2 linked regions of the Ovis aries genome follow. The main gene of each other region encodes a partner of the protein of the gene in region 2 in a complex. Links are inferred from orthologs where the notes say so. Each region holds a gene or a part of one and is shown on either strand. Other genes may lie near its edges.

Region 1 (16,774 bases), on a different chromosome or scaffold from region 2:
ACTGGAGTGGGTTGCCATTTCCTTCTCCAGTGCGTGAAAGTGAAAAGTGAAAGTGAAGTTGCTCCGTCGTGTCCAACTCCTAGTGACCCCATGGACTGCAGCCTACCAGGCTCCTCTGTCCATGGGATTTTCCAGGCAAGAGTACTGGAGTGGGCTGCTATTGCCTTCTCCGAAAACTGGGCAGGCAAAACTTATAACTGTTTGAGAGGATGAAGGTAATTTGCTGAAAGTTGTATCACCCTGTAATAAAGTCATGTTTATCTGCCCAAGACTGTAAATACTTAGACTGAAAAAAATGTCATAGTTCAGATGATAAATTACATGGCCTCCCTAATTACAGCCTAAAAGTGAAGTTTAACGGTATACACTACCTGGTTCTTAAAGAACATGACTAATGTTGATGTTACACTTTAACATGACATAGAGATTTTACCATATTTGAACAGACCTAAGGGGCATTATTTGACCTGAGGTATAACCAGCCACAAACATACTGAGTAACATTATTTTAAATGCCATATTTCACGGCGATGACTCAGATAATAGATGCTGACCACATTAAACATTTGCTTTATTCATGAAATCAACATTAGAACATATTTATCTTATCTGAGCACTAAATTGCTTTTTTTTTTCTTCTCAGAGATTAGCCATAATTTTAGGTCTCTGCAAATCACCGTCCTCAGTCACTAGTAATTAAACCGTTAATGGCACTATGATAAATAGTAGGCTATTTTGATCATAAGGAGGAAAAAAAGTATCTCCGTTATATAATTAAGCATGAGAGAAAATAAGCTATCATTAGGCTTAAGTTTGGCTCATTATTTTTATCTTTCGCCACCATCTCTTCCCTCTCCCATTCACATTCTTCACAGCAGCGGTATGTGCTGTGGCTACAGCCTCTGATAAGCTCTGACTTGAGCAGAATGTTCAGGACAGGAGCTAGGGATAAAGGTGAAGTATTTATTTCCTCTGCTATGCAGGCAAATAGTTCAGTTTTAAGTGTGCTCTCCATTCCTTTCTTTGGTCTTTATTTAAAAGATAAACACACACACACATACACCTACTAGATGTTTATTGTCACGCATATTACATTTCTAGTGAATTTTACAATATGAGAGACAGTAAGCATATGATCTTAAATTTTTATATAAAGAATACCACGAATTAGTAGCTTCCGTATACTAGGAGAATTGGAAAAAATAGATGAAAGGGAACTACGTCGATGATTAATACTAAAACTTAGGTAAAATGAAAATCACTGAGTAGACAGTCAATTCCAAATCTAACAGATGCCCCATCTATTGGATAGATTGTCTCTCCAATCCCTTTCTTTCCTAACAGTAGAACTCAAGTGTATTTACAGGAGGAGATACACCCCTACCGTAGCCGCAAAGGACAAATTGCTCTGAGACAGGCATGGCTTTCTCATTCCCTTTGGCCAGCGATCGGTCGGGGAGGACAGGTGCCCAGCTCTGGCCATGAGATATTTTGGAAGTCTCCCCAGCATTATTACTGGTGAAGCAAATACAAGGGGAGAGACTTGCTGACACAGTCCATTGACACCTCGCCCATCCACCTTTTGTCTTCCCCAACCACAGGAAAACAGCAGGAACCAGGCCATCACAAGACAATAAACCACCATAATGATGGCAGAGCAGAAGGAAAGGAGCCTGAGAGACTGATAACATCAAGGCCGCAGCCCCTCCATCCAGGATTCATCTCAAAAAAATAGTCAGCTATCTGCTAAGCCCCTGTGCTAGGATCTCCAGGTTCTGTGCAGCCATCTGCACTCACAACCAACACACAATCCAAAGTTGATGACTTAATGTTAAGAAGATGCCCTAAATAATTTACTTTCTGCTGACCTCACCCATTAATCCCAACATGTCTCAACTACAGTTCAACTTAAATTAGTTGAGTGTGCTTCCTCTTCTTAGTCTAGTTTCTTTCACTTTAGTATGAGACCAGCTAATGGCCAAAAGCGGAAGACAGATGTAGAAATGTTAGAGGGTATTTCCTTTTACAAGCATTCTTAACCAGAAGGAGTTAGGAAGTCTTTTCACAAATAGAACCACATTGGCTAAGTGCAATGAACCCTGGAAGACAGAACTGCGGCTCCAGCACTGTGTGTTAACTGAGGCGCTCAGAGCCAAGGCTGCTCTCCCAGGTTACTGAACACCATTGGAGCTTTCTCTGGAGGGGTAACCATGGAATCCCATGTTTTCAGCATCGGGAAGGGTTACCCACAATAAACAATGTTCACTTGCCTGGAAAATGTTCTTCCTGCTGCCACACAAATGAACACCCTAAAAAGGTTTGAATCAAAACACTGAGTCAGAGGCTTCTGGCAGATGCGGGCTCACTTGCTCTGCAGAGACTCTTTATCCTAATTTACAAGAAACATACAAAGGGTCCCTTTAAACCTACTATTTTTTATGACCACCCTACAAAAGGCTCCCAGATCCATGATGCTGACTGCTCAGTGTAGTCAGTGGGTTTGATTTATTCAAGGAATTGATTAGATAGCTGAGTAACAGGACAAAATACCAAAGAGAGGATATCTGGGAAAATAAAAAGCATTACATGGCTAAGAGAAAATTTAAAAGGCTGTCTCAGAGAACCAGGTGTCTTTCAAGATTGGGAAGTGAGCTATGCAGAGGGAAAACCCCACAGTATGGGCAGAGCATGTGCAAAGCAGAAACTAGGCAAGGCAAAAAAAAAAAAAAAAAATTTTTTTCTAATGCCTTATCCTGATCCCCAAAATGAAGCCATCTGATCTGAAAAACAGACATTTCTTTCTATGGAGAATTCTAAACAGTACAAGCCTTCCAGGACTTATCACTAGGCCATTCTTAATGAATTATCTGGCAGGGGCATGATGCAGCCAAGTCTGCAGGTCTGCTGATGAGCCCACACTCTTATGGAGAGGGAGATGGTAAACTGCAAGAGACGAACTGCGGAAGCTCTCAAAGGGCTGTGCAAGAGGATGGGCCACCACAGATTAGATCATCCCTAGCAAGGGAGAATCACTCGGACTATTAAAAGAGGAGGGGCCCTACATGATCAGCTACAAGTCAGAAATTAGGACTAGAAATGGCTGAGGATGCTGTCCTTACTGAGGCTGAGCTAACGGCTTTCTGCAGCAACCCCCCCCCTCCCCCTTAGTCCAAGAAACTGTAAATATCATCACAAAACAGGCAGGAAACAGCATGCTTCCCTACTCATAATCACAGCCATCCACATCTGGACCTCTGCGCACAGTTCTCGTTATTATATCCTGATAAAGACACATGAAACCTCAAAGAGGTCCAGAGAGGAATGATCAGAATGATAATGAAGGGGATGCAGAGAGACTGTGCCATGAAGAGAAATCCATGAAACCAACCTTCTCATCCGGAAAATGGGGCAGAGTCATGAGGGGCTACCAGCCAGGCACTGGACTTGGCCAGATCTAAACCTGATTCTTATCCCCATCCCTGACTAGTCAGGTGGCCATGGACAAGCTACTCACTGCCGGGTTTCACCACCTCTGAACTCGGGCTCACGGGGCCTATGGCACTAGCTCACTGTGGCATGAAATACGGTATTGCATGTGGAGTGCCTGGCACACAACAGCAGAGAAAGGACATCGTGGTGGCCATAGCTGGGGAGTCAGACAGACCTTGTTCCAAATCCCAGGTCAGTGTCTCACTAGCTGTGTGATTTGATCAAGAAAATGTGAGCCTGGGACTTCCCTCGTGGTCCAGGGGTTAAGAATCAGCCTCGCAATGCAAGGGATGCAGGTTCAATCCCTGGACAGGGAACTAAGACCCCACATGCTATGGAGAAGCTAAGACTGCGGGCTGCAACCAGAGAGTCCATGTGCTGCAGTGAAAAATACCACACGCTGCAACAAAGACGTGACGCAGCTAAACAAATATAAATCAGAAAACGTGAGCCAGCGTCTTAAAGCTCCAAGACGTAGGGCTCTACAAAGCAGGCAAGCAGAAACCCAAACTCACCTGGTGACAAGCTGCAAACAGACTGCCTTCAAACAAACAAAAAGGCTCAGGTAAACACGTAGATTTCCCCCTTGGGATATAAAGGATTATAAAACAAAACTAAAGTCCTTGAAGGTTTGTCTTTAAGATTGAGACTGGGGCAAAGACTGGTGGACTAAATTAAATGTGAGCACGAACAGATGGACACTATCAGAGACGTAATAAAGACTTGACTGGAGCTCCAATCTAACTCAATTTGTCCTTTCTATATTTGCTTTTATCTCCGTATTGATGCAATTTCAAATATACATTTTAGACCACCATCTAGTCATGCAGACAACACAACAAAGAGAAGAATTTCAAATTTAAGTTAATCTGCTCCATATAAAAACACTGATGACACCAAGTGTGAATGAACAAATTATTACTTAATAATACTATTTAATTACATTTCTAAAAACAACAGAAATTTGATTCAGTCCAATCCCTGAAACTCTTCCAGAAAGGGTAAATTAAAATCTGATTTAAAAATGACTGTACAAACTCTTCATTCTTTTTTTTTTAAGAAACAAAGAAAGTAATTGTTCAGACTGTTCATTGGTAAATACAAAAATTTCAAAAATTGAACCAGTATTTTAATAAGTATGAAATTCTCTTTGGAAACAAAATGCAAACATGTACACAGATATAAACTAGGCCACAGTAATATGATCTAAATATTTAAGTAGAACAGGCTATGCAATATAAACCTATAATAAACAGAAATTACTCTCACATATTTGACTTTACCTACATGAGAGAGAAATAACATGGCTTTTGCTTTGTCAAAACAGTAAAGGCCATCGCCCCTCACTATAAGATTGGTTTTGAAGTCACTGAGAAATGTTCTTATCACTTACTAACTAAAGTTGTCACTTTAATAGTTTATATAACTTGACTCGGCCACAAATACACCTCAAACAAAACAACACTGAAAGAGGTACTATCTCCAGAGCTACAGGACTTGAAGTTTTAAATGGTCACATTACTAATATTTGTGTAATACACAATAATAAATCGAAGGTAAACTCTGCATGAAAGCTATAGGACAGATAACATAGCAGACTGGCCAAGAGACAGGGCTTCATGTTCAAGTCCTACTCCCCACTACTTAACTGTGTGATCCAAGAAAATTACTTAACCTCTCAGACGGAGCCTTCTTGTCCTTCACCTCTAAAACAGGAACACAAGAGAGCCTGCCTCACAAGCTGCATTACCTGGCACTTAGTCCTCAATAAATCTTAGCTGTTGCTGCTTTTACTATCACTGTTGTTGCTGTTATCATCTCATTATTATTATAGCTTACAAAGAACTTTTACATATAGTAGCTTGTGACAAATATTAAGAAATGGCACAGAGAAACACTCAATTTAAAATGTAATTACAGTACATGTCAAGGATACAGGAAGGAGTCTGATTTCCACCATCCTGGCTCTTCTAACAAACCAGAAGGGAGCACAGAATCATATATAAAATGTGATTGGATGGATACAAAATTAATTTATGGAGACAACTGTTAATAACAGCTAGCATCTTGTTGCTCACAATGTTTCAGACAATTTACTAAACACTTCAAATGTGTTATTATTTCTTAATCTTAGTATTTTAAATGCTTCCCTTGAGGAACTGTGTCCTGCCAGCCTGCCCAGGGTTACTGTTAAACTACTCAGGCAGGCTGATTTCAGAGAACACTGACTATATGGCCCAGGACTGATTTCCTCTGCAAATAAAAGTCTATAAACTATTCTGATCATCTTGCTTAAGAACAACAGCAGAAACAAGCAGTTCTCTGCTCCCCTTTCTAGATAAGACAGGCACCTGCTCACGCTTCATGAGCCATCTTCCCTGTGTACCAGCAATTCTCTTCTAACTGTTCTAGTGAGGACCATCTAAATTCTCATCCCACGAGAAGAACACATTTCCCTTGCTTCTGCCATCCTAGTTTACATATTTACTATAGAGAAACAGATAGACAGAAATATATAGATTGTTGTTGTTCAGTCACCAAATTGTGTCTGACTTTTTGTGACCCAATAGACTGCAGCACACCAGCCTCCTCTGTCCTCCACTATCTCCCAGAGATAACCCATATTAATTAATGTACTGGAGTGGGTTGCCATTTCCTTCTCCAGGGGATCTTCCCAACCCAGGGATGGAACCCGGGTCTCCCGCACTGCAGGCAGACGCTTTACCATCTGAGCCACCAGGGAAACCCAATTAATTCTGTAATTCTAGGATTCCCTCGATATACAACATAAACTGATCCCAGTTAACAAAAAAAGTCACAACAACAATGCTCCTTTCACTAATAGTATCATCCACATCCAGTTCAGAGTTCTCAATATGCAGTTCAGTAAACTGTGAATCCTAAATTGCTAATAAATGTTAGATGCACATAGAAACATTCATGTTTCTGGTCTGGAAAACTACTGGATTCATCAGATTCCATAAAAGCTACTCAAAATGCTAAAAACCATTCATTTAGATAGAGATCCTCTCAAAACAAATTACCTCATTACACAAATAGTAAAAAGCTTTGTATTCTCAGTGGAATATGCTCAGAAATTTGATGCTTTATGATTTCATGCCAGAGTGACAGTGAAGTTCAAGAAGGGACAAGATTCTGGCTTAAGAACATGGAGACATGTCCCCACAGAAATTCTCTGTCTAGGTGACCTTGGGAAAACCATCTAACATTTCTGGACTTCGTTCCATGATTGGGAAAATCACTGGGTTTTAAATAAATGATTTCAGGGTTTTCTCTTCAGCTCTCTGATTCTATGATATAATCATGCCACATACGCAAGGCAAAACAGATAAAAATTTTTAAGCCACTTACATCACTAATGAGTTCAGTGCACCTTCTGGCCAACTCCATACTCAGGTCTTCAATAACAGGCTTAAAGAATACCTGTCCAGGGAAAAAGGAAAGGAAACATTTTCCTCATCATCAATTTTAAGGAATGAACACCACGCCTCAGCAAGCGCCTTCTCACCCACCTTGTCTTCTTCATTTTCTTCTTCCCCTGTTTTTCCTTCTTCAGTTTCATCTTTCACATCCTCAAATACAGGAACCCTCATTTTTACTCTTTATATATATATAAAATTCACAAGTGCAGCACCTTTTTATATCCTGCAGCACCCTTGAGATCTTGGCATCTCTGTGTTCTGGCAAAAATGACCTTGCCCAGGCCTCCTCCCTATTTAGCTCACTCTTCACCCTCCTTATCACAGCTGCGTGTGAGTGGATAGAACCAGATCACTGAGGCTGGCAAGGACTAGCCTCATAAGAGGAAAGAATATTTTAATAAGCAAAATTCAATTTTGTGAACTTTTCAAGTCAACATTCTTTAAACTGAGACAAGTTTATTAACATTTAATGAATTCAATTCATTCATAAAATAGTTTGAACAAGACTTAGAGATTCTGGGAAAACCACTCAGCTATAACACTCAAGATAACACAGTGGAAAGCCTACTATCTCAAAGATTCCTCAACTCCATCTAAATAAAGCTTTCACTGGAATGTCAGACATACCCCAGAGCTGGTATGGTGAAGCTGGATCATTAAACTCATTTCATTAAGTTAAATTAAAATTTTTATGAGACATATATATACTTTTTCAGTCTAAAAAAGTACTTTATATTAGCTGATTAAAGGCTAGTAATTTATCATGGAAAGCCCTTTGAACCACTTCGAAGAATCTATTCTGAGTTAATTATGGTTGTTAATCATACATTGCTATTGTATTATTTTAATTGTAAACATCATTAAACATGAGAAGCTATAGTTAACATAGGCTGATATATTATTTAAGAATTCTAGAAACATCATTATTTCAAAAAATAATAAGTACCCTCTTTCAATTCTGCCTATAGGGTCAATTTTTACAGATTTCACTAGATATCTGTATATTTCTCAATGTGTAATACATGCTTGGAAAGATTTAGAAGAATAAACTATAACAATATTTACAATGCAGTATGTATCACCAGTTATATAATTTAAAATGTATTTCTCAAAACAAATCCTTTAATGTCAACTGGGGTAGTTCTAAGACTATACAGCTCAATTTATCAATTTGTTTTTTTAAATCCTAGGATAAATTAATGTTTATAAAGCCATAGCATATCAGTGTGGGACATAATAAAAGTACCTTATGGTGAATAATGAAACAAATGATATAAAACATAACTTTAATCAAAAAATACATTCCAAGCAGAAAAGTATAATAATGTTTTTTTCTTAATAGCATATCTAGTTGTTGGGGTTTTTTTTTCTGTTTTTGGAGTATAATTGCTTTACAATGTTGTGTTAGTATCATATTTCGTTTTAAATTTTGTAAATTGCCTTGGCCTTGCCTAAAAATTCTGAAAAGAAAAAAATTCTATACAATCATCATGTACAGATGTCAAATTGTGTTGTATGAGGCTAAAATTCTGCAGAATACTCTGAAGGGGAAAAGGGGGTTTCTTTAACAAACATGTCTGGGGAAACCTGTATACTAATCTATACCCCTGCCACTTATAGATCCACAAGGCATAATGACACTTTAGAAGCTCCCACACCACACCTTAGAAGACCCATAACCAAGAAAACTATTTAAGTTTGCTTAACCCAGCAATTCCCCAAAACGAAAGCCTATTCATCTAATCTAATCTATCTACTACCTACTTACATACCTACCTACCTACCTATCTGTTCTTTTATTGACATTTGATATTGCAGAAAACTAACATTCTTCTGTGAAATATTACTTAGGGAAACATTGTTTTATTCTGAAAAAAAATGGTTGTGTTCTATTAAGAGTTGATCATTTTATGAAGTGACTTTTAATGTGAACTTAGTGGCATTATATAACCTGCGTACCGGCAAAATGACAAAAAGAAATGCCCCAAGGGTTCTGAAACTGGAAACTTTAACTTTATAATCATAGTAATGGGGACTTCCCTGGTGGTCCAGCGGTTAAGACTCCATGCTTCCAATGTAAGGGGTGAGGGTTCAATCCCTGGTTAGGGAACTAAGATCCCAACTGTTGTATGGCATGGTCAAGAAAATATAAACAAATAAATAAAGATAAAATCATAGCCATGTCATGCCAGCGTAGAGAATTCTATGAGGAAATTCTCTGTATGTCATATTTGTTTCATAAAAGAGAAGAATGTGTGGACTCTACTTGTTTCCCTCAAGCCCCTGCCAAAAGACTATTCCAGTATTCTATAGAAACTATATTACACTATCTTTATTTGGAAATAGGAATCTTGCAAACTTCTAGAAGCATAGGAAGAAAATCTTGCCAAAGCTGTCTAAGATGCATTGCCTGGCTAGTGTTTGAGGTGACAGTACTTGCAAAGCTCATGGTGACACCTCCTCTCTATGGTGAGTTACCTTGGTCAGACTTCAGTGGCTGCTATTTTCTCATTTTCCATCATACAACAAATTCTTATTGTCTCTCCACTGTGCTGGAAGAAAATAATCTGTTGAGATTATGCACAAAAGTTTGGAAATCAAAAACAAATGCCATATACAACGTGAACACAAATTTTCCATGTAAGGTTTTAAAACCAGAATTTTAAAACTATAGGCATCCTTAAGAAGTCTATCCTGCTAAAGCCCTTTCTTTCATACAGAACAAAATTGATATCAACAGAAATTATTTGTCTTATTCACAAAGTTATCTAGTGGAGCATTAGGACCAAAATTTAACTAGAGCCCTATGTTCATTCATTCAAAGAAATGTGGTTATTCCAGGCACTGAATTTGATGTTAGATGTGTAATGGTGAGTAAAATTTAATTTGTGCTAAAATGAGGTGGGAAATTTTTTTAAAAAATCATTTAAGACTTGCTGTAGGTACTCCTTAATGGAATGTTTGGCAAGCTAGATACATTACTACTTTTGACTGAATGCATTTTTTTCCATTTACCTGTAGGTATAATATAGAATTCATGTAAAAATTTCTGTTAAACATTTTAAGCCCTGAACTTCATCACAGTAAAGGTCTCTTAATAGCTTCAAAATGGGACTTTGGGGATATGAAGGAAGTATTCTTCATGGATAGCTATCATGTTTCAAAATTCCCCAATTTTCTTTTTTTTTTTTTAAACCATGTTAAATGCTATATTTTAATACATATTTTCACCTTAGGCTGAGCCAAAAGGGAATATCTGTATAGCTGTTAAGCCCTTTTACTTACCGAACATTTCATTTCTGTCATCTACCTTTTACTTTCCTACTCTACCCACTCCCTGATTGAGGGTGATACCAAGGGTGGGATCATATTATCTACTGCAAACACCCCCTGAGGTCCAGGTCCAGCTCTCCCACACCCTCTAGGGAAAATTATTTAATCCCTCTCTGGCTCAAAGTCTCCATTATCAAGCAGAAAAACTGAATTGCCCAAAGTTAATAAAAGGAAAGTACCTAAAAATAGGAAAGCCCCTTACAAACATAAGAGTTTTCAACTATCAAATAAAGGTACACAGTTCCAGGGAAAGAACTTGATATCGAAAGATCATCTCATTTGAAAGAGTAAATTCTAAACCTTCAATATGTTTTTAAAGCCCAGGAAGTCTTCATGCAGCATAACAACCCAAAGACAAGAGCTAACTTGTGTATTTGTAGTACAGAAGTCTTCCATATTTTTATGGTTTGACGTTTATGTATAAGCAAATCTATTTCTATAACAACTGACAGGTCCCAGGGGTAATTCAGGTCTCTGGAGACACAGACCCTGACCAAGGAAGCAAGTCTACACCATCATCACGAGTCAGGCAGTGTCTGTCTTCTTGTTCTTTAAGGTCACATACAATAAGAATCTCTTGAATTTTGAGAAGTGTTTCATATTTATTTCACTTTTTTTTCCTTTCTGTTCTCTGCAGTGATGGAACATGTGGTTCTTCCCTAACATGGTGATGAGTGACTTGCAAATGAAATTCCATAATAAACAACTGAAATAGATTGAGATTCAGCTCTGTGTTGAGGGATATTTAGAGATAAACTGAATATTTCCAGTTTAAAAATTAATAATTCAACATATCTTATTATAACATATTCCACCTACATGGTAAATGAGAGAGAAGCCTGCCTGCCTTGGCAGTCTTTTCAAGTACTCATTTTGCTTTTTTTTTTTTTTTTTAAATGACTATCCCCAGAAGGTTCTTGCTTCTCAGTTGAATCCCTGATTATTTTACTTTTGCCTTATGTGTTTCTTCACCATTTGGCATCTATCTAAAAGAGAACTTTACTAAGAGATGAGGGGGAGAAATCATTTCTTAAAACAAGAAATATAAGCTCTCTAGGGCAATTCGTCTTCTTTATAAAAGAGAAGAGTCCTGCTTATTATTAGCCCAATCTGTTTTTACAGTTAACACTCATTAAGTCTATCCTCTCCTTTTTAATGGCTATTTCATTACTGTTTGTTAATGAGAAATCTAAAGGATGCGAAGCAACTGAATAATTGTCACCATTACCAATTTTGCCATTAAAATAAGATTTTTAAAAAACCTTTATTTTATATTGGAGTATAACTGATTAATGGGGCTTCTCTGGTGGCTCAGTGATAAAGAATCCTTCTGCCAATGCAGGAGACGCATGTTCAATCCCTGAATTGGGAAGATGCCTTAGAGGAGGAAATGACAATCCACCCCAGCATTCTGCCTGGAAAACCCACGGACAGAGGAGCCTGGTGGGCTACAGTCCATGGGGTCACAAAGAGTCGGACATGACTTAGCAACTAAACAGCAACAACAGTAACACAGCTGATAAACAACGCTGTGACGGTTTCAGGTGCACAGCAGAGCGACTTGGCCACGTCCTATCCACGCTGCCGCATAATTGAGATCGACATGTGCACACTTCTATGTTTAAAATAGATAACCAACAAGGACCTACTGGATACCACAGGGAACTCTGCTAAAATTAGATTTAATTTAAAAGAAAGATTTAATAGTTTTTCTGTATTGAACTTCCTATTTTTACAAATATAGATCCTACTCACAAATGAAAGCCACACATCTACACTTGTGTTGGAGGAAGAGACGAACAAGAAACCACAAATAATCTTTGGCACAACAATTTGCAGGTTGGGGATGGCTGGGATGCCAAAATTATAATATCTATTCTTCTAAGTATATTGACAAGAGGGGAAAAAAAAGAGTTCTCTTATTCAGAGTCTCCATTAACATAAGTACCCAGTGAACTGAAAGAAGACTTTGGTTCAGTTTGCTACTTACTTGAGTTATTTGTTCCAATTTAATAACAACAAAGCCAAAACCATAAGCACTTCTGAAATCCTTTCCACCAAGAGAAGCCCAAGGTTTGAATGGCTTCTGTGTAGCTTGTCATCAGAACCAAAGTGTCAAGCACGAAAAAAAACCATCTTGACTCTTCTGAAAAAGTATGCCTTTCCTAGAGTTTTGTGTGAGAGGTGTCAGGGGAAAACGGTGAAAGACTCTGAAATTGGTGGGGGAAAAAAAATTACATCTTGTCTTATCTAGCATTACCTTCTGGTTAATCTGGCCTTTCACTATTTTTAAACTACTTACCCACACCATAAATTATTGAAAACTGATAACAATGCTAATGATGTTTTAGCCATACAAATGCAAATGAATTGTGTCCTGGGGAAGGGTAATTGATTATTGGCTTCTTGATAGATCCTTTTATAGCTATCTGTAAATTCAATTCATCATTCCCCATTACTCATTTATGTTTGGTTCTTCAAATTCACCTTTTAACCTACTGTAATATCTTTCTGGTGTCCTCAATTAATGAGTTAAAATCTTTGAAATGTGTTCATTTTATGTTTTATGAGAATCATGGTTTCACCTTTCCTTAAGAAAACCCTTTAACAGATGCAAATAATTTTATTTCTTCCCTTTGACATACAGTAAAAGTAAAAATTAATAAAGTCATATTAGATAAAGCTATATTCTCTAAATTGTGAGCTATAGCTATAAAATTTTTTGGTGTATATGAAAATTAGCTTTTTGTTTTGTTTTGCTTTTTTAAAAAGGTCTGATCTCATTTGACTATTGGCAAATGCCACATGTGTGCTTGTATATATGTACATTCACACGCAAAACACACACACATAACACACACATGCACTCAAGCAGAGTTAATTCCTCACAGCTGCCAGTTTCCTCTTGAAAAGCATACAAGGCTTCAATAAATGCAAAAACTTAATTACTTCTCACATCTGGAAAAACTTGAATATGAGAGTGGATTTATTGAAGAAGCTCTTTGCTTGGCTGTCAACACCGTATCAAGAGCCAGAGTGTGGGCTTGATCAGTGTTGGCAATTCTTTAACCCTTCAGAGGTAGATGTCCTCCCAATTAATTCATAGCATGTCCTGCTTACATGATTTAAGGATTTTATCAAAACACAGTAAATAATTTCCTAGTCATTTATGGAGAAAAGCTGTTTCTGTCATGTTTCCAGACGGGAAGAATCATATATTGAAACGTGGAAATAATGAGGAAGTCTTTATAGTCAAGGAAAAAGGGAAAGGCTTTGGAGTTGAAGCCATATTGAAAACAGTCAATGGAACAATAACTTGTGTAAACACATGTGAAACAATTCAGCCCTTTTTGGAGAAAGTATAACAATGTCTCTAAAACGCAAGTAGGGAGTTGCATGAGCTCAGAGCAAGAAGATCTAGCAGAAACCAAGTAATGGGCAGATCTCCCCCTAGAGAGAATACTTAAGCCAGAATTAGGCAAAGAAATGGGGTATATGGAAGACATCCAAAGAACATTTGCAGAGACCCAGAGATAAAGCCAGAGGAACCAAGATTTCAATGTCACTGGAGCATAAAACGGGGAGAGATGAGGGCATCAGGGAGAACTCCATGTAGTGTGTGTGTGGGAATCACTTACCGAACACCGTGACCGTAAGCAGGTCTGAGTCACAGACTTTTAAAATAACACATTCCCTGGTCAACTAATCACAGAAACATCTTTACACCTACTTTACACCTTCAGGTGCCTTGAATTTAATTTTTACCCCTTCATTTTATCACTGGCCAACTGAAATATTCCTCTTACCTGGACCTTATGAAGATTTATACTGAAAAAATTATCCCCAATTGTACCTAATGAAGAAAAATATGTAAGGGAAATATATTTTTATTATATATCCCCCCAATTAAATGAAAATTATGTTAAATGTTGTTTATAAGTTTCACACTTCTACATTGCTATAATTACAATTCTATCATTAAAATGCACTTTTTTTCTACTTTTTACTATACAAGCGTTATTGATACTTCTACTTGAACCTTAAGCATCCAATTACTGTACCTAAGCTGGCTAAATATTTCTATCCTGAAGCCATGATTTCATTATTGGATAAGACCAGGAAAACAACACAACTGACCCTTACAAGTTTGTAACTTTTGAAGCACTAAGTCCCGAGTTTTGTTCCAACTGTTTTCATGGATTTTTCTTCATGTGTAACTCAAAATATAAGACACTATCAAAATAAGACCATAATTAAAGTAACTGTATCATTAAGACAGCTATAAAGTTCAGTTCAGTTCAGTTCATTCGCTCAGTCGTGTCTGATTCTGCGACCCCATGAATCAATCATAGCACGCCAGGCCTCCCTGTCCATCACCAACTCCCGGAATTCACTCAGACTCACGTCCATCGAGTCAGTGATGCCATCCAGCCATCTCATCCTCGGTCATCCCCTTCCCTTCCTGCCCCCAATCCCTCCCAGCATCAAAGTCTTTTCCAATGAGTCAACTCTTCGCATGAGGTGGCCAAAGTACTGGAGTTTCAGCTTTAGCATCATTGCTTCCAAAGAAATCCCAGGGCTGATCTCCTTCAGAATGGACTGGTTGGATCTCCTTGCTATAAAGTTAGTGATGTTTAAAACAATTGGTACCTTTTAGTGAGAACTAGTTTAACATATATTGGTGTTAATTTCTCTCTGAGGACTTTATTTTCTCTATGATTTTGTGTGTGTGTGTGTGTGTGTGTGTGTGTGTGCATGGGTCCAACTTCATTCATTTCACAAATATTTCTTGTGTGCATTCTATGGGTCTGGCACTACTTTAACATCCTCAGATAATGTTGGTGAATAACATCAACAAAAATCTCTACCACTTCCTATTTCAATTACATATTTGCTCAACATGTATGTAATGAGCATCTATATACTTTATAATGCACTGTACTAGCTTTTGTATATATCTCCAGTATATTTCAGATACTGAATATACATGTGAAAATCTATATTCATTAGTATATTCAACTTAAAGTATATCTTTTTAATACTATGATAAATTTGTTGGATTTTAAAAAGCTGCATTTTCTAACAATATTGTAAATCAACTATACTTAAATTATTAAACAATAAAACTGCATTTTAGAATGCAGCATGCTTTTAAAAGCTTTTTATCAATGTTCAAATAATTTTGTAGCTATCAATTTTTTATCATTTTGTACACCAGTTACATCTACAAGTGGTTTTCTCCATCTACCTTTTTTTTCTTAAATTGTGTATGCAAGACTTTTCTTCATAACCCCAGCATGCTTGGCCTACTTTTGATTTGCTCATAAAGTGACTTTTCCCAGGCAAAGTCTATTTATGTTGTTTTAACTCTTTCCAAAATCATTCTCTGGAGTATCTCTGTCCAGAATTGTAATGGGAGCCACATATGTAATTTTAAGTATTTTAGTTGCCACAAAAGAAGCAGATTAAATTGACAAATGACATATTTTCTATAACTTGATGTACCCAGAATTTTATCTTTCAACATATAATCAGTGTAAAAAGTATTGTGATATTTTACCCTATTTATATTCTGAAATTCAGTGCGTTTCAATCCAGCACATCTCACTTCAGACGAGCCCTACTGGATAGTGGCTCCAAAGTGGACAAGAGAGCTGTGCCATGATGCTATAAGACTGGAAATCACTAGCTATTTTTTTTCATTTTTGATCATCTATATCTTGCTGTTTAGTCACTCAGTCATGTCTGGCTCTTTGTGACCCAATGGACTGTAGCCCACCAGGCTCCTCTATCCGTGGGATTCTCCAGGCAACAATACTGGAGTGGGTTTCCATTTCCTTCTCCACATCTATACCTTAGATGTGAAAAAAAAGTACATTTAAAATTAAACTTCTTAAGATGACAATTTCAGAATCCTAATAAGCAAGCCATAAAAACTACAATCTATTTTAGTTTCCAGAACTATCCAAATCAGAGTTCTTTACATGGGAATGTATTTTATTAGAAGTTTAAATTGTTGTTATAAATAAAGAATTAACTCTTTAAATTATCTTTTAATTAACTTCACCAAAGGTGTATTTTCAAAATACTATCTTGTTTCATTAATGAGAACGACACACTTAAAAGTTCCAGCGGTTTTTGGGATAAATATTCACTCCTTAATATTGAATAAATAGATAATTATGTGAATGAATAATAGATATTCACTCTCTCTTTCTCTGTCTAAATAACAAAAGCCCAAATGGTGAAATATCTCCATCAATACTCTCACTTTTTTTTTAAACTCACATTTTTAACTCACATTATGCAATTCAGGCCACCAATTTGCTCATCAACTTATCCAGGTAAGTTCTTTTTAAACCATGTTGTAAAGCAGTGTCATAGTGAAGCATGAGATTTCTAAAGAAGCTGATAGATCCTTTAAACAACCTAAGTATTTTACTGAAATTAGACTTTATATTAAAAACATGAATTTCTCAAATACTCAACAAAAAAGATCTGGAGCAATG
Region 2 (16,904 bases):
CTGCAAGGACATCCAACCAGTCCATTCTAAAGGAAATCTGTCCTGAACATTCATTGGAAGGACTGATGCTGAAGCTGAAGCTCCAATACTTTGGCCACCATATGCAAAGAACCTTCTCACTGGAAAAGACCCTGAAGCTAGGAAAGATTGAAGGTGAGAGGAGAAGGGAACAACAGAGGTTGAGATGGTTGGACAGCATTACCAACTCAATGAACATGAGTTTGAGTAAGCTCTGGGAGTTGGTGAAGGACAGGGAACCCTGGTGTGCTGCAGTCCATGGGGTCACAAAGAGTCAGATACAACTGCTGAGTGGCTGAACTAAACTGAACAAGGTGATCGCTCTCAAGGCATATCATCCAGCATACATAACAGTGGTTGGATAGAATGTGTAGATTATGGTCAAGATAAATAATATATCCCAAATGATCCAAACATATGAAATCAACAAAATTGAATCTAATCTCCAATACTGCTGATTATTAACTTTTGTCTTTGAAGGAGTTCCTTAACTTCACTGACCCTCAGTTTCCTAATATGAAGTGATAATACCGAAAATCTTGGTGGTGTTGTGATGATAAAATAAAACATATGTAAATCACTCTGATACAATTCTTTTTCATAAAGTCTATATTTATTAAGAGAAAATTAAAGAAAAAAGATTCACTGCTTTTCTTGGAAATTTGTACTATTAATGAACAAGAAAACAAAGTGAGCCAAATGAATTCCCAGAGAGTGTCTATACTTTTTGTCAAGGATAATAGTCTTCAACCAATAAATGGTACCAGGAAAAGTAGAATAAGGGAATAAATTCAAGATAATTGATGACCTAGTAAAGAAGCACATAGAATTTTGAAATCTCCTAATCTAAACATTTTATATCAAGCTACCAAGAACGATACAATTTTATATACATAAATGAACCTAAACTCATACATTAGTTTCCCCTCAGAAGGAGGTCTTTAGCAGCAGTATGACTTTGAATATGTCAGTGGTTCTTCTCTGTTCAATATTCTTTATCATTCACTTAGATAAAACATATTGCAGTTTGTGAAGAAAAAACTATGGTAAATGGCAGAAGCATGCTGGACTAATGGGATGGTGCCATTACCATTCACTTAGGCATAAATTTTTAAAAAATAAGAGAATGTAATGAGGCTTGTCAGTAGCATATGCAAAAAAAAGGCTTACATTTTAATGAGCAGTAGTTATATGATTCAACAGTGGCATATATCTACAGAAAATCTCATGAACACTTTTTGATATCCAATATAAAATATCCAAACAAAACCTTTCTATTTTTTATTCACCTGTCTTCCAGATTATTAATCTTGTCTTTCACTGTCTCCCACCTGGGATAGTGGGAGACAGCGAACACTTGATAGTTTAACACTATCCCTCAAGTTCTTAATTTCTGATCAGCATTGGAATGTCCATTTCATTATTATTTTGTAATTTTGATTTTATTGAAAAATTCTCTATATTTTTATATACATCCTGTGATATTTCCTATATTTTCTTAAATACATAAATCATGATTGTTTTAAAGTCCTTATTGTCTAATTAACCAACTATTAATATCTGCTTTTTTCCTTTTTGCATGTAGAGACAATGTTCTGTCTCCTCGCATGCCAGGTACTTTTTTTTAGTTGAAAGTCAAGCATTGCGTTTTCAAAAAACAAAGGTATACAAATCTCCAGATGATATACTTTCATTAGAGAGGTTAGCCTCTCCTCTGCTAGGCAGACACAGCAGAGGAAGTAGAGGGGCTGACTACTTTAAGCTTTTATTGAGAATCTGTCAGAGCCTATCTCTGCTCTACTTTTCAGAGGTCTTCAGCTTGGATATGTAGTGACACACCCTGTGAAGCTTCTGAGTTTGGTAAATTGAGGAAGAGAGACTGGCTATTGTTAAGTCTATTCAAGTCATTAATTTTATCACTCTATGCCTAAACAGGTTCCTCCTTTGTTGTTTCATCTGTCTTCCATCTTCTAGGGGCTGAGACAGGATCCTCACTCAGCTCCAGTTCAGTCTGCACTATCAAGCACCCCCAGAGACAAAGCAGTTACTGAGGATTATTTAAAAGTCAATTCCCCTTTCCTTTGAGGACTTTGAGCTGTCCCCTGTCCTCCTAGTAGATCATGAAAATGTAGGCTATTCCACTTTTCTGTGTTTGGGCTTATAGCTATAGCCTGCTATCCTGTGAAATTTTGAAACTTAGCTGATATCTTGAGGAGTAAAATAAATCTGAGGTCCTGCTCCTCTCCAGTTTTATTATCCCAGTCTGGTGCAACTGCCAAAACTATTGTTGTTCTTTTGTCCCCCAGCCTCAGTGCTCTTCCTGACTTAGCCTGGATTGTCAGCTTCATCTGCATCTAGAAATGAAAAATAACCTCCAGGGATAGCTTCAGATTCTTAGCTCACATTTGAAAAATCATATTTCTTGAAAGGTACTCCCTCTAGCCCTTATTGTTTGGCTGATCCTTGATGCCGTTAATATACTTTTTTTGTAATTGATTCAACTTTTCTAATTGTTCTCAATGGGAACATTGCATGCTGTCGCTCAGTCATGTCCATGGCTTGTGACCCTTATGGACTGTAGCCAGCCAGGCTTCTCTGTCCATGGGATTTTCCAGGCAAGAGTACAGGAGTGGGTTGCCATTTCCTTCTCCAGGGGATCTTCTCAATGTCCACTCAGCTATCATTCAATCTCACAAAAGTGTTTTGCAAAAGAGCAGAGAAAAGAGATGAGATGCCATATACAGAAGCATTTATGCTATCGCATCAGGAGAAAAAGGAGTCAGAGGACTACCATATTACGGTATGGAGGTCGAAGAGAAAACCCAAAAGGGTACATAGACAAAGGAGCTTTAAAAATGCAGGAGACAAAACCAACTGAGGATCCATCAGAGTTTCTAGAAAGAATTTATCAAACTTTTAGGTTCAGCTCAGCTTAGTTCAGTTCATTTCAGTCACTCAGTCGTGTCCAACTCTTTGTGACCCCATGCACAGCAGCATGCTGGGCTTCCCTGTCCACCACCAACTCCCGGAGCTTACTCAGACTCATGGCCATTGAGTTGGTGATTTCATCCAAAATCTCTTCCTCTGTCATCCCCTTCTCCTCCTGCCCTCAGTCTTTCCCAGCATCAGGGTATTTTCCAATGGGCCAGTTCTTCACATCAAGTGGCCTAAGTATTGGAGCTTCAGTTTCAGCATCAGTCCTTCCAATGAATGTTCAGGACTGATTTCCTTTAGGATGGACTGGTTGGATCTCCTTGAAGCCCAAGGGACTCTCAAGAGTCTTCTCCAGCACCACAGTTCAAAAGTCTCAATTCTTTGGCCCTCAGCTTTCTTTATGGTCCTACTCTCACAACCATATGGAAAAACCATAGCTTTGACTACACTGACCTTTGGTGGCAAAGTAATGTCTCTGCTTTTTAATATGCTGTCTAGGGTGATCATAACTTTTCTTCCAAGGGGTAAACATCTTTTAATTTCATGGCTGCAGTCACCATCTGTAGTGATTTTGGAACCCAAGAAAATAAAGTCTGTCACTGTTTCCACTGTTTTCCCATCTATTTGTCATGAAGTGATGGGACCAGATGCCATGATCTTAGTCTTTCGAATGTTGAGTTTTAAGCCAACTTTTTCACTCTCCTCTTTCACTTTCATCAAGAGGCTCCTCAGTTCCTCTTTGCTTTCTGCCAGAAGTGTAGTGTCATCTGCATATCTGAGGTTATTTATATTTCTCCTGGTAGTCTTGATTTCAGCTTGTGCTTCATCCAGCCCAGCATTTCATGATATACTCTGCATCTAAGCTAAATAAACAAGGTGACAATATACAGCCTTGATGTACTCCTTTCCCAACTTGGAACCAGTCTATTGTTTCATGTCCAGTTCTAACTGTTGCTTCTTGACCTGCATACAGATTTCTCAGAAGGCAGGTAAGGTGGTCTGGTATTCCCATCTCTTGAAGAATTTTCCACAGTTCACTGTGATCCACAACATGATTATAGGTGCTACATGCAAACAGACCTGGAGGTCCCTGAGAATGTAACGATGATAAATATGACCCTCATCAGGCAAAGTGCCCCAGATATTTTAAAAATGTAGAAGTCATATTGTGTATTTGAAACGAATCCTTCTCAACTAGTAAGTGTTGTTTCGAAAGTATTCAATAACAGGGAACAATGGCAGAAGCAAGGAGATGCAAAACCAAACTCAGCTTTTCTGGTAGCCACACTGAAAGCAAGTAACCTAAAGGGAGGCTTCCCAGATGGGTCAGTGGTGAAGAACCCACCTGCTAATGCAGAAGATGCGGGTTTGATCTCTGGGTCAGGAAGATCCCCGGGAGGAGGAAATGACAACCCATTCCAGTATTCTTGCCTGGAGAATCCCATGGACAGAGGAGCCTAGAGGGCTACCGTGCTTTGGATCGCAAAACAGTCAGACATGACTTAGCAATTAACAACAACAAACACTAGAAAATATGAAAAAATAATTTTATTTATGTATTTAAATCAAATATATTTATTTCCTGAAAGGGCCAAAAGCTGGAAGTTTGAAGAAATATTATCTTGAATTAAACTTACAGAAACAAGTGAAGAAATTTATCACTACAGTGGAATGAGAAAGCAGGCAGTTTTGAGTAAGAAGAGAAAGTACAAAGCTACAAGTCCTGTCTTTGAATAACTGACAATATTTTGAAATACTAAAACCATGATAGCATCATTAGGTTCTATATTCAAATACAAAAGTAAAGATTATTATACTTACCTTGTAGGTCAATCTCCTCATGACTAAAATCAAACTGTTGTGATGATAGATCTAGTGCTATTTTCTTAACCATATAGCAGGATAAAGTCATAATAATAATAATGATAATTTTCAAATAAACATTTTTCCTAGATTTAGACTTTCACGCATATTATATACTGTTGTCGTTTAGTTGCTAAGTTGTGTGAAACTGTTTTGCGACGCTGTGGACTGTAGCCCACCAGGCTCCTCTAGCCATGGGATTTTCTAGACAAGAATACTGGATGGGTTGTAATTTCCTATTCCAGGGGATCTTCCCAACCCAGGGATTGAACCCACATGTCTTGCATTGTTAGGCAAATTCTTTATCACTTAGCCATTAAGGAAGCTCCTGAGTATTGCACACACACACACACACACACACACAGAGTCATTTAATCTTCACAACCATCATTTAAAGTAGGTAAACTGAGTTCCATTTAGTTATAGAGAAGTAAAGTGAAATATAAACAATGTATGAAATTTGTCAGGTCACAGAGTGTAGTTGGTATCAAAGCTATGTTAAAATCCTGTGCTCTAAATCAGCATAGAATTGTCTGCAATAATAGGAATGTGCTATCACTGCAATGTCTAACACATAGCCACCAGCCACATGTAGAAATTAAGTGCTTGAAATGTGTCTAGTGCAAGTGATGAAATAAACTTTCAATTTTATGTCATTTAAATCAAGTAAACTTTTGCTAGCAAATTTGGAGAACTCAGCAGTGGCCACAGGACTGGAAAAGGTCAGTTTTCATTCCAATCCCAAAGAAAGGCAATGCCAAAGAATGCCCAAACTACCGCACAATTGCACTCATCTCACATGCTAGCAAAGTAATGCTCAAAATTCTCCAAGCCAGACTTCAGCAATACGTGAACCGTGAACTTCCAAATGTTCAAGCTGGTTTTAGAAAAGCAGAGGAACCAGAGATCAAATTGCCAACATCCGCTGGATCATCGAAAAAGCAAGAGAGTTCCAGATAAACATTTATTTCGTCTTTATTGACTATGCCAAAGCCTTTGACTGTGTGGATCACAACAAACTGGAAAATTCTGAAAGAGATGGGAATACCAGACAACCTGACCTGCTTCTTGAGAAATCTGTATGCAGGTCAGGAAGCAAGAGTTAGAACTGGACATGGAACAACAGACTGGTTCCAAATAGGAAAAGGAGTATATTAAGGCTGTACATTGTCACCCTGCTTATTTAACTTATATGCAGAGTACATCATGAGAAACGCTGGACTGGAAGCAACACAAGCTGGAATCAAGATTGCTGGGAGAAATATCAATAACCTCAGATATGCAGATGACACCACCCTTATGGCAGAAAGTGAAGAAGAACTAAAGAGCCTTTTGATGAAAGTGAAAGAGGAGAGTGAAAAACTTGGCTTAAAGTTCAGCATTCATAAAACTATATCATGGCATCCAGTCCCACCACCTGATGGCAAATAGATGGGGAAACAGTGGCTGACTTTATTTTTGGGGGCTCCAGAATCACTGCTGATGGTGACTGCAGCCATGAAATTAAAAGACACTTACTCCTTGGAAGAAAAGTTATGACCAACCTAGACAACATTACTTTGCCAACAAAGGTCTGTCTAGTCAAGGCTATGGTTTTTCCAGTAATCATTAATGGATGTGAGAGTTGGACTGTAAAGAAAGCTGAGCACCAAAGAATTGATACTTTTGAACTGTGGTGTTGGAGAAGACTCCTGAGAGTCCCTTAGACTGAAAGGAGATCCCACCAGTCCATCCTAAAGGTATTCAGTCCTGAGTGTTCAGTGGAGGGACTGATATTGAAGCTGAAATTCCAATACTTTGGCCATCTGATGCAAAGAGCTGACTCATTTGAAAAGACCCTGATGTTGGGAAAGATTGAGGGTAGGCAGAGAAGTGGGTAACAAATGATGAGATGGCTGGATGGTATCTCTGACTCAATGGATATGAGTTTGGGTGGACTCCGGGGGTTGGTGAAACTTTGAATGATCACATGTGTCTAGTAGCTCCCACACTGGACAGCACAGCTCTAAAATAATTAAGTTGTATTGGCTTCTGGCCCTGAAAAATCTGTGGGTGTACAAGAACACTGTCTCAGAAGCTTTTTCTTAGAGTTAATCAGTTGGAATATCACTCCTTGACCTATTTTTAATAGAAAGTACATGTATATGGAATATTGTATATGGGAAAGTGTAATGTATATACTAGTCTTTATTAGTAAACAATATGAATAGCTTACTTGTAAGCATTTGTATGAAATAAACAATATGTAAGTCAAGTGATTTCTTTAAGTCAAAGTGTGATTTTTCTCTTTATTTGGGCTTCCTGTGAGGCCGTTAGTGTACACAGTAAACCTATCAGAAGCAAGTAATAGAAGAGAGGAAAGATAGAGGATGCTGCCTGTTTTATGTTTACTTAGAAGGTATTAGATGTTGGCATTATGGAGCTCAACTGCAATTCTAGGCGAGTTCTACTTCCTTCCGGGTCAGGTCTCCAGGTTGTGCTGAGTAAGGAGAGTGGTAGCAAAGGACACCTGATATGATTCTCTCAGGAGCATGTGAGGTGACTCCTTTCCCTGGCCTGCTGTTCCTTCTGGCAAGTGCCCTTTATTCTCTCTAGAATGCCTTATCACTCCTTCCTCTCTCACTTTCTTTAAACAAGAGAACACTTTCTTACTTACAAATATACCACAGCGGTGTTTTGCTTTGTATGTGAAGCCTCAAAACACAAACCAATATTTTCAATACCTAAGAGCTGTTTGTAAATAAAAACAGGGTTTCTGCTTCCTGAAAACCCAAATTCCATCATAATAAATTAGAACATTTTCTCTATGCTTTATTTTCTTTATGCTTTATATTCTTGACTCTTAAAATGTTGAAATTATTAAAACAAATGAAACTAATTCAAGGACTGTCAGTCCTTTCCCTCATCGGTGCTAGTTATTTTTTAGGCTTTGTTCGGAAGTGGAGAGTTGGCTTGATGGTCCTGGCTGCAGAAGGAGGTTTGATTGACTGCACATGTGTTAATACCATGCATACATTACTGAGGAACTACGAGGCAGAGTGCCCTCAGAGACACACTTCTGGAAAGAGTGGTTGACTCAGGCCCCACCTATACAGAGCTCAGTTCCTAAAAATAGGTGCTAAGTTACATCCTTAGACGCAGGGCTAAAATAAATTCAGCCGTCCCATCTACTTGCTTGATAGACCCTTCAGTGGAGCTGGCCTCCACTCCACCGATTGCTTTCAGGGGACTGGGAAATTTGCTGTACAAAGGAGGAAACTAGTCTGTGAAGAACTGTAAAGATATATGATATTTCCACGAACTTGGGGTTAAGTCTAAATATTGCAGAAGGTATGTGTTACGTTGTCATTGATAAATGTCTACTTCCATAGCTATAATATGTTCTTACTGATTGCTTAAGATCAGGGAAGACCACAGGTCTAACTGAACTTGTTAGCAGAGGAAATATTCAGTCAGATTTTGTTCTTATGACAATATTTAGCATTACTTCAGATTATTACATTTAGGGCTTCATCTATTAATCTCTTTACAGATTAATAGTTAGTCCTTTTTTATTTTTAGTATTAAAGAATAATGAGCCAAATTTGATAAACAGACATGAGTGGAAGTTATACTTCAGTTTTTAGCTAAAAGAGAAAACTGAAAAAATTAGTTCATCTTTTATGAGCATAAATTGATCATCTATACAATAAATATGTTTAAAACTCTAAACTATATTTCTTAAAATTTGCTGAGGGAAAAAGAGAACTTAAAATATTCTCAACTGTTGCAGCTTACTCAGAGAAATCTATGAAATGTATTCTTTATGCAGCCTTAGTTTGATTTTGTACTTCTTGCCCCAACCACAGTCTCATCTCCTCTGGGAGTATTACTGGAGTAAGGATTAAAGAATCAGGTTCTTACATGTTTTCCAGAATTAAGAAAAGCGCAGCCAGTCGGATCTGCCAGCCCTAATTATAGTAACTACAAACTTAAAGAGAGAAGACAGATTTTACTTTAAAAGTAGCATGCCCTGTATACTGTTTCAAATGAATTTTTTCTGTCTTCAGTTGCCTGTGAACACCTTAATTTGGTCCTGTTGTGCCTTAAATGTTTAGAATGTTAGAGACTAAAGTGATTTGGAAGAGACATTATAACAGATTCTCTTAAATTAAGACACCAACTAAAAGCAAGGACACTTTAAGATTACATAATACAGGGTTTAAATTTAGCCAGCTGGTGCTGAACTGAAAGATATTTTATTTTTATCAGAGCTCTATTTGGTCACTGACAAGTTGGTGGTTGTTTGAATCATTTTAAAATTTTATGTACAGAGTGCCAAAGGACAAGTAAAATATTTACCTCAGCTACCTTCAGAGCCATGAATTTTAATATGAAAGAGCACCTGTTTTGAGTTTTAGAAGCTATTACCATTGAGTTTTAGAAGCAAAAATACCGGATCAAAAATGGGAAAGTCTTGAATTCTATGCTTAAGTATTTCTCTACTTCTCTGCCTAATCTTTGATTCTTTTACCTTTTTTATTGTTAATATATAAACAAACAACTAGACCTATTTTTTTAAGTCAATCAGCAGTTCAAATGTCTACAATATGGCAAAGTGCCAGCTGTTTGGGGAAAATGTAGTCTGGAGTTTGGCATGAATGTTTCTGCATGAAGTACTGGGCATCTTTGATACAACTGCCTGTAACCACCTGAAAAATTAAAAGAGGCACTGTTTAATGATCACAGAGAGCATCACTTTAGAAAATGTCAGGTGGGCCTCAAGTCTTCAGCAATTAAAGAGGGAGACAGGGTTGGTTCTCTTTCTTCAAGTTGACTTTTGGGTAAAAACACCACAAAGTTCATGTATAATTTATTGTTGTTTACCATGGATAGCTGTCTGCTAGTCAAGAATTTTGCCTCTCACATTTACCACAATTGAAAAGCTTCTGCACATCAGTATTCTTTTTTTATTTGTCTGGTAAAATATTACTTACGATGAGACAATTTGGGGTTGGACTCCTGTGATAACCTTGAAACAGGGAATTGACACTCAGTTCTTCTCTCACTTTCTCTCCGTCTCTCTCCTCTCTTTCTTCTTCATGCCTATACACAATTCTGGGCAGTAAGAGACCATTTTGTAACACTTATTTGTTAGCTCAAAGTCATGTCTAGATTCAGTAATTTATAGACCAGGGCAGCAACTTAATAAGTGCCTGGCAGTATAATTTCAAGACTTCTGATTGAACAGTCTGTGGGGAACAGTACTTAATTGACAATACGTTGTCCTTTTTGTTTGTTTTCCACCTCCTTTTTTAAAAGCATTTGAGTTACACTTTGAAATTTAATTAAATTGTAATTTGTTTTTTCCTGCTTCTGAAACAACCACTTGCTCATTCAAATTACAGTTTCATCCTTTGCAGAGTGTGGTTAACTTCAGACTTTTCTGATTCAGGAATAAACTATTTTAGAACACTGATTTATTCAATCTTTTTTTAAGATTTTTTTTAAACATGGGCCATTTTTTAAAGTCCTTATTGAATTTGTTATAATATTGCTTCTGTTTTATATTTTGTGTTTTTTGGCTGTGAGACATGTAGGATCTTAACTCCCAACCAGGTATCAAACCCACACCCCCTGCACTGGGCCACCAGGCAATCCCCCTAGGTAAATGGTCTTCATGTGACTGTGTAAGATATGATATTGTTGGTTTTCCTCCCTTATATCAAATGACTGATGTTTTCTAACACCAACCAGTTCTCCAATTCTCTGATAGCAACTGGGTATACAACAATTCACTTCAGTACTCATACTAACTTCCAGAGTTAGAGCAGAACAGACAGGTTGTGCCCACTTTAGCCTTGAATTTGGGTTACAACTCAAGAACAGTCAAATGGAAGAGATTTATAGAGTAATGTGTGTGTGTGGAGATGGTGCACAGAACTTCCATGCCCTCTCTGGGCTCACCATCAATCAACATGTTCACCAGCCTGGAAGCTCACTAAATGCTGTTATTTAGAATTGAGATTTCTTTATGTGGGGAAATTGGCTGAATCATGGCCATTGGTAATAGGATTCAGTGCCTAATCCCTCTCCCTCTTTAAGTAGAAAGTAGAGTTGAATATTCCAACTCTTTAATTACTCAGTTGGTTTTTCTGAATGCAAACCCTGTCCTGAAACTATCTATATTTCCCCCCACAGCCAACAGGAAGCCAGGAGTTACCTCATTAGCTCACATACCAAAGTGAAGTAGCTCAGTCGTGTCCGACTCTTTGCGACCCCATGAACTGTAGCCTGTCAGGTTCCTCCGTCTATGGGATTTTCTAGGCAAGAGTGCTGGAGTGGATTGCCATTTCCTTTTCCAGGGGATCTTCCTGACCCAGGAATTGAACCCAGGTCTCCCACATTGCAGGCAGACGCTTTACCATCTGAGCCACCAGGGAAGCCCTGCTCACATACCAAAGACACCATCAAATTCCAAGAGTTTTAGGAGCTCTACGCCAGGAATCAGGGAAACAGGCCAAATATATTTTTTTTAATTATTTCACATATGTCCCACAATATTACTACTCTGTGAAATGCTACCTATGAACTCCAGAGTGAAATATTCATAGTATTTATTTTCCTAATCATTGAAATCTCTTTTTTTGCAAATTTAACCTGAGTATTTTTCTATTTGTACATTATAGTCAAGAAAAGCACAAAGAACAGTGACAATCAGACAATGCAAAGAACAGATATTTTGCTTTCTTAAAAGAGTTGAGAGTCAGCAAATTCAGTGAGTTATTTGTGTCAGTTGGATACAACAAATGACAGCATGGCTATATTTAATGACCCCTGGGACTCCATGGGCCTAAATGGTGGCGCAAAAATAATCTGGCACTGAGCAGTGCAATAGGTAATCCAAATTCCTGGTAGAGTGGCTGTAGTTCTTAAAATGTCACAAAGAATAAAAGGAATTTGTCACATAGATAACACAAAGAACCCCACTGACTTTTTGACTTAGCACTTTTAAGTTCTGGATAAGAAAACTGAGGCACAGAACATTAATTAGTAACTTACAAGATTTAGGCAGAGAGAAGTAGAAACCTACTCTCTTGACTGTACTTTATTCTGCAGAGCTTCATGAAACCATCACTCCATCCTCACTCCACCCCCACAACTTGGAATACATTTCAAAGTACAACTTGATAAAGTCTTTTTGTCCCAGGTTATTATTTTTCTTTTTATTTTTCATTTCATATTTCTCTCAAATTTAGGGTAAATTATGGAAAAGCAGACCTGATCCACATATTTATTGACAACTTAATAAATGGCGCTTGGTTTATTTTTTAACTTTACTGTCATCTAAGTTTGCTTGTCATCTGTGCTGGATGAACTCTTCCCCTCTTCCCCAGCACTTCCAGCCCATGTCCCCTGCCCTCCACCATCAGCCCATCATTGGACACATCATTTTGCACTGTTGTTTTTGGCAGACCTTCAAGTAGGCTTGTGTCTTCTACATTTCTCTAATTGTATGCAGGATATATCCTGTTGCCTGGTGAGCTGAACACTTTAGATATGTCTGGCTGTTCAAAAATAAATAATTGCCAAATTGCTCCAGGCATACATATGACTTAAAATGAATATAATACTAAAATAATTTCTTTTAGGAAATTTTTGTTTGTCAAGGACCCAATTCCACCCAAATCTGAATATATCAGCATCTGTGTTTCTAAATGCATTTACTTGGTAGTCAGCAACATAGAAAAGCTAAAAGAAAAAAAAAAATCATGTCACCGTTAATTTTAGAAGCTAAGTCCAGTGTTATAAATGGTTTCAAAACATGTCAATGCTTTTCATGTTAACTTTCACAAACAGGAACTATACATATAAAATAATGTTCAGATAATAATTACGTTATTTTCTTACTTAATTCATAAGAAGTTAGTTGCACTGAAGTAAGATGTAGGTGGATCACTTTATTAAGTGGTGGGTTTTTTTAAAAGCTATATATATGAAGTTTTGATGAGTAGAGTCACATTTCCCCACTGGATTGCATTAAAATCCACAGGTGCTTTATCACTACCTCTGTTGTTGTTGACTGTTTTCAGTCCATGCAGTCATAATAAGAATTCAGCTTTATCTTATCTAACCACTAAGCCTTTTTGTCAAGTAATTAGACTTCAGAAGTAACTACAGTAAATAAGTGTTCCAAAGAAACAGGGAGAAATCTTTTTGCAAAGCTAAGGATCAGCTTTTAATTTATTTGTTGTATAAGTTAGAGTTTTTTATTGTCAACACAAGCACCTTATTATCAAGTTGGAAAATCCTAGAAAGAGATAAAAATAAAATGAGTTCATTCACATTATTTAAGGGTGGTCAATTCCAGCTCCAAACTTTGATTTACTGCCTCTGCTTCTGTTGGATCCTGAGCTAGACTCCTGAGTATTGCATAGGATGAAAGTCTGCTGTGGCAACTGGGGTGCAGCCCAGCCCAGGTTCCAGTTGGAACACAGGGGCTAGAGCTAGAGGTGCCAAAGGAAGAGCAGTGGATGGCGATCAGCCGCTTGGTCGTTCCCTCTGTCCTCTGTGCCACCCCAGACTGCTCAGAGCAAGAACAGAACCCTGTTTTACAGCCCTGACTTCTGCAGTGGAAACTGTGCTAGCCCTCAGGATCTCAGAGGACGCAAAAGTGCTTATTTTGAGGAATATAACTGTATTATGCATGTGTGCTTCAGTCACTGACTTGTTCTGGAATGGGAATGATTTCAGGATTCATCATCCAGATAATTTCATTATCCAGAATTGGGCAACAACCACAAGTTTAACTCTATAAAGTATCAGAGAAATGAAATTTGAAAGGCAGCCATGTGTTTGTATTTAAGTTGCAATCTTTTTTTTTTTTCTGTAAAGATCTAGTTCAGTTATTTCAATTGTTGGCTCAAAACTACAATTTATAGTTTCTAATAGTTCACCCTTTAACTAGAAGCAACAAATTACCTCAAATTTCAATTTTCACTGCTTTTCTTTTAATTCATCATTTCAACCCAACTGGTCCCAGCTTCTCTACTATGTCATTTTGTTATACGGTTACCATCTCTTTTAATTTGTGTTCCATTATGATCATGTATATACACGTATGTGTATATATATGTATGTGTATGTATCTGTATGGGCCTCCCCAGGGGCTTAGTGGTAAAGAACCCACCTGCTGGTGTAAGTTTGATCCCTGAGTCATGAATATCCCCCGGATGAGGAAATGGCAACCCACTCCAGAATTCTTGCCTGGAAAGCCCCATGGACAGAGAAGCCTGGTGGGCTATGGCCCATGAGGTTGCAAAGAGTCAGACATGATTGAGCAACTGAGCACGTGTATATGTATACATTATTATACACAAGGCACAGTGTTACCCATGTCTCCATATTGCTTTCCCTTTAGTTTATGTTCTCAAAGTCCATTTAGATGTTAAAAAAAAAAAGAGTAGTCTTCAAACAATAACCAATAACCACAATATCATCTATAGTGACACTTTACCTTTCATGTAACATTGCTTTAAAAACTGCTGTTTTGTAAACATTTGTACTGATAAAGTACAAAGCTATATTTTTATAAAAACTATAACAATAATAAACCTTTTCTATAAGATTATTCTCCCATAGATAGCTGTATGGAGTTGATATATAAAATTTCATTATTTATAATCATCTTTGTATTTTGAAATTAGAAATTTTTTTGAAAATTTTCCAAAATTAGAAAGATTTCACAAATGATGTGCATTGTTCTCTCTCTCTCCCTTTCTCCTTCCTTCTTTTTTATTTCATTTCTCTTAAAGACCTGTGGAATATATTACTTAACCCTAGCTCTATCACTATCCTTAAGATTTGTGGAGTGTCCTCAGTTTACCAAAATCACAAGAACATCACCTTCTAGAGCCAGAAGAGATCTCAAAGGAAACCCACATAATACTTTACTAGGAAACCAGAAAATGCTGTGTCACATAAACTCTAACTAGTTGAGTACAGACTTTGAAACAAGACAGTATGGGTTTGAATTCTGGCTCTTAAACCTAACCAACTGATTGATCCTGGGTAAATTACTTAAATCCATCTCTGTGCCTATTTCCTCATCTGAAAATGGAGATACTAATAGAGTCTATCTCATAGATTACTGTTTTGAGGATTAAATAAATTCATATTTGTAAAATGTCTAAAACAGTAGTGCCTGGTATACAGTAAATGCTACATGAGTTTTGGCTATTATTATCATCATTATTATTACTGTCTAATATATGGGGTTAATATAATAACATTTATGTCTTTCCCAGAGAACAACTTAAGAATTTAAAGTACCAAGTTATCCTAGATGCTGCAAATTCAAAATAACACCATACTAAATAAAAACGTTTTTAAGAGAGAAAATTATCTACCCATTTTAATAGGTTGTTCTCTTGTTAAAGGCATCCTTCCTTTTCAAAGGTGCACTCTTGAGCTCAAATTAAATTTCTGTCCTCTTTGGAGTTGTAGAAAGCTATTAAATATCATTTTTCTATTATAATCATTCCAACACTTGAAACTAATAACTTTTTGGTTATCTTCAGTGATGTCAGTATCACATTACTTCAAGAAACTGAGCTCTTCAACCACTTCAACCATAATGCGTCTGTCTCCTTTCTGATGGAGCTGCTCATAGCCACACATTGGACCCCCTCATTACTTTGACTTAGTTCTTAACTCTCAAAATACTCTTAGATCACAGTCTTTTTTCTTTTAGCTGCAACTAACCTTGACCCACAGCATAGTGTTCCCATCCTCAACACATCCTGCCCATCAGCCCCTCTGCTCTTTTGCCTCATCTCTCTGCATTTTGAATCCACTCAGTGTCTGAGTAAAGATGGAGGGAGAACTCTTACTTGGGAGGAAAGCATTGAAAGATGCAGCTGTGGGCACCTGTTCATCAGTAGAATCTAAAGCAGAAAAGGCCAAGAGGAATCCAATAATGGAAGAGGAAGCAAAACTTTATGAGCCAGTAAAATGGTACAAATGTATCAGATTTGATGGATGAAGCTAAGCTATAAAAAGAAAAATAAATCACAAGGTCAGAAATAAGGAAAACTAAGAACAAGACAGGATGGAACCTAGGATGGATTAGGGCACACATTTCAACTGAGGCCAAGAACAGTTCAGCAGTGTTGGTGGCCTGGTGTTAAGCACTCCTGACTCCATGCTTCAGGCATGGGTCTAAAGCTTAAAGGACCCATGCCAGACCCAGCGCCCACTCAGCCTGGGCCCATTGTCAGCTGCAAGATTAGAGGTTCCATTGATCTCCCATTTCATTTGTCCCCACATTCTTGAGCTAAATATACCTTATCAAAAGCCAGTTCAACATTTTCCTCATCATCTGATATATTTGCCCCCATTCCCAGGTTGTGTGTGTGTGTGTGTATATATATATATACATATATATATATATATTTTTAAAGGTTTGTGGTTTTGCATATATGTTAATACCCAACAATCATTTTATCCACTTTTAGTTGACTTCATGTCACATTCACCACTATTCCTGACAATCCCAGATGTTCTCCATTGTAATATACAACTGGAAAATTTGAAAATGAAAAGACGTTTGTGAGTAATATTCTTTTTAAAAGTCACATTGAATTTTCAAAAGTATGGCAAGGTTAAGTCTGAAATAGTTACTAGAGATATACATTGATATAATATGGATGAAACTGAGAACTAATAGAATGTGTGTGGTAAGACAAAAACAGAAGACTGGGGATGGAACCCTGAAAAATGTATGTGATTGGGTGCCAAGAATTGTGTGTGTGTGTGTGTGTGTGTGTGTGTGTGTTTCAGGAGACTGGTCATGATAGATGAGTATTTCTTCTGTCTGGCCTAAGCTACTCACCAACTCCACACTCAGTTTTAAGATTTTATAAAGCACACTGCAGAGAGTGCTGCAAAGCATCATTTTAAATTCCTTCTCCTGAGATACTTCCTGCAACAGCAAATGTTAGGCTCAGAGAGTTTCATGATGTTTTCCTCAGGTCCTGCATGGCTGGTGAATGGGGCCTGGGGATTTCTGCCCCATATGTTTTCCTTGGCAGGCTTCCAACCCAGAGCTG

What was found.
Region 1: the proteins of XIRP2 (region 2) and NEBL are in contact, whole or in part, in a crystal structure (PDB 4F14), measured with the Homo sapiens proteins. The link is inferred for Ovis aries from reciprocal best matches to the Homo sapiens genes XIRP2 and NEBL. Residues at the interface, in NP_689594.4 of Homo sapiens: Pro2420, Pro2421, Pro2422, Thr2423, Leu2424, Pro2425, Lys2426, Pro2427; in NP_006384.1 of Homo sapiens: Tyr963, Asp964, Tyr965, Asp969, Asp971, Glu972, Ile987, Asp988, Asp989, Gly990, Trp991, Met1004, Pro1006, Asn1008, Tyr1009.

The regions. Positions count from the first base shown.
Region 1 is NC_056066.1:21,594,687-21,611,460, forward strand, and holds the start of NEBL (nebulette), read right to left. Parts: upstream 7,186-16,774; 5' UTR 7,104-7,185; coding exon 7,023-7,103; intron 6,934-7,022; coding exon 6,862-6,933; intron 1-6,861. UniProt on the Homo sapiens protein: Binds to actin and plays an important role in the assembly of the Z-disk. May functionally link sarcomeric actin to the desmin intermediate filaments in the heart muscle sarcomeres.
Region 2 is NC_056055.1:142,303,847-142,320,750, reverse strand, and holds the start of XIRP2 (xin actin-binding repeat-containing protein 2), read left to right. Parts: upstream 1-7,992; 5' UTR 7,993-8,145; intron 8,146-16,904.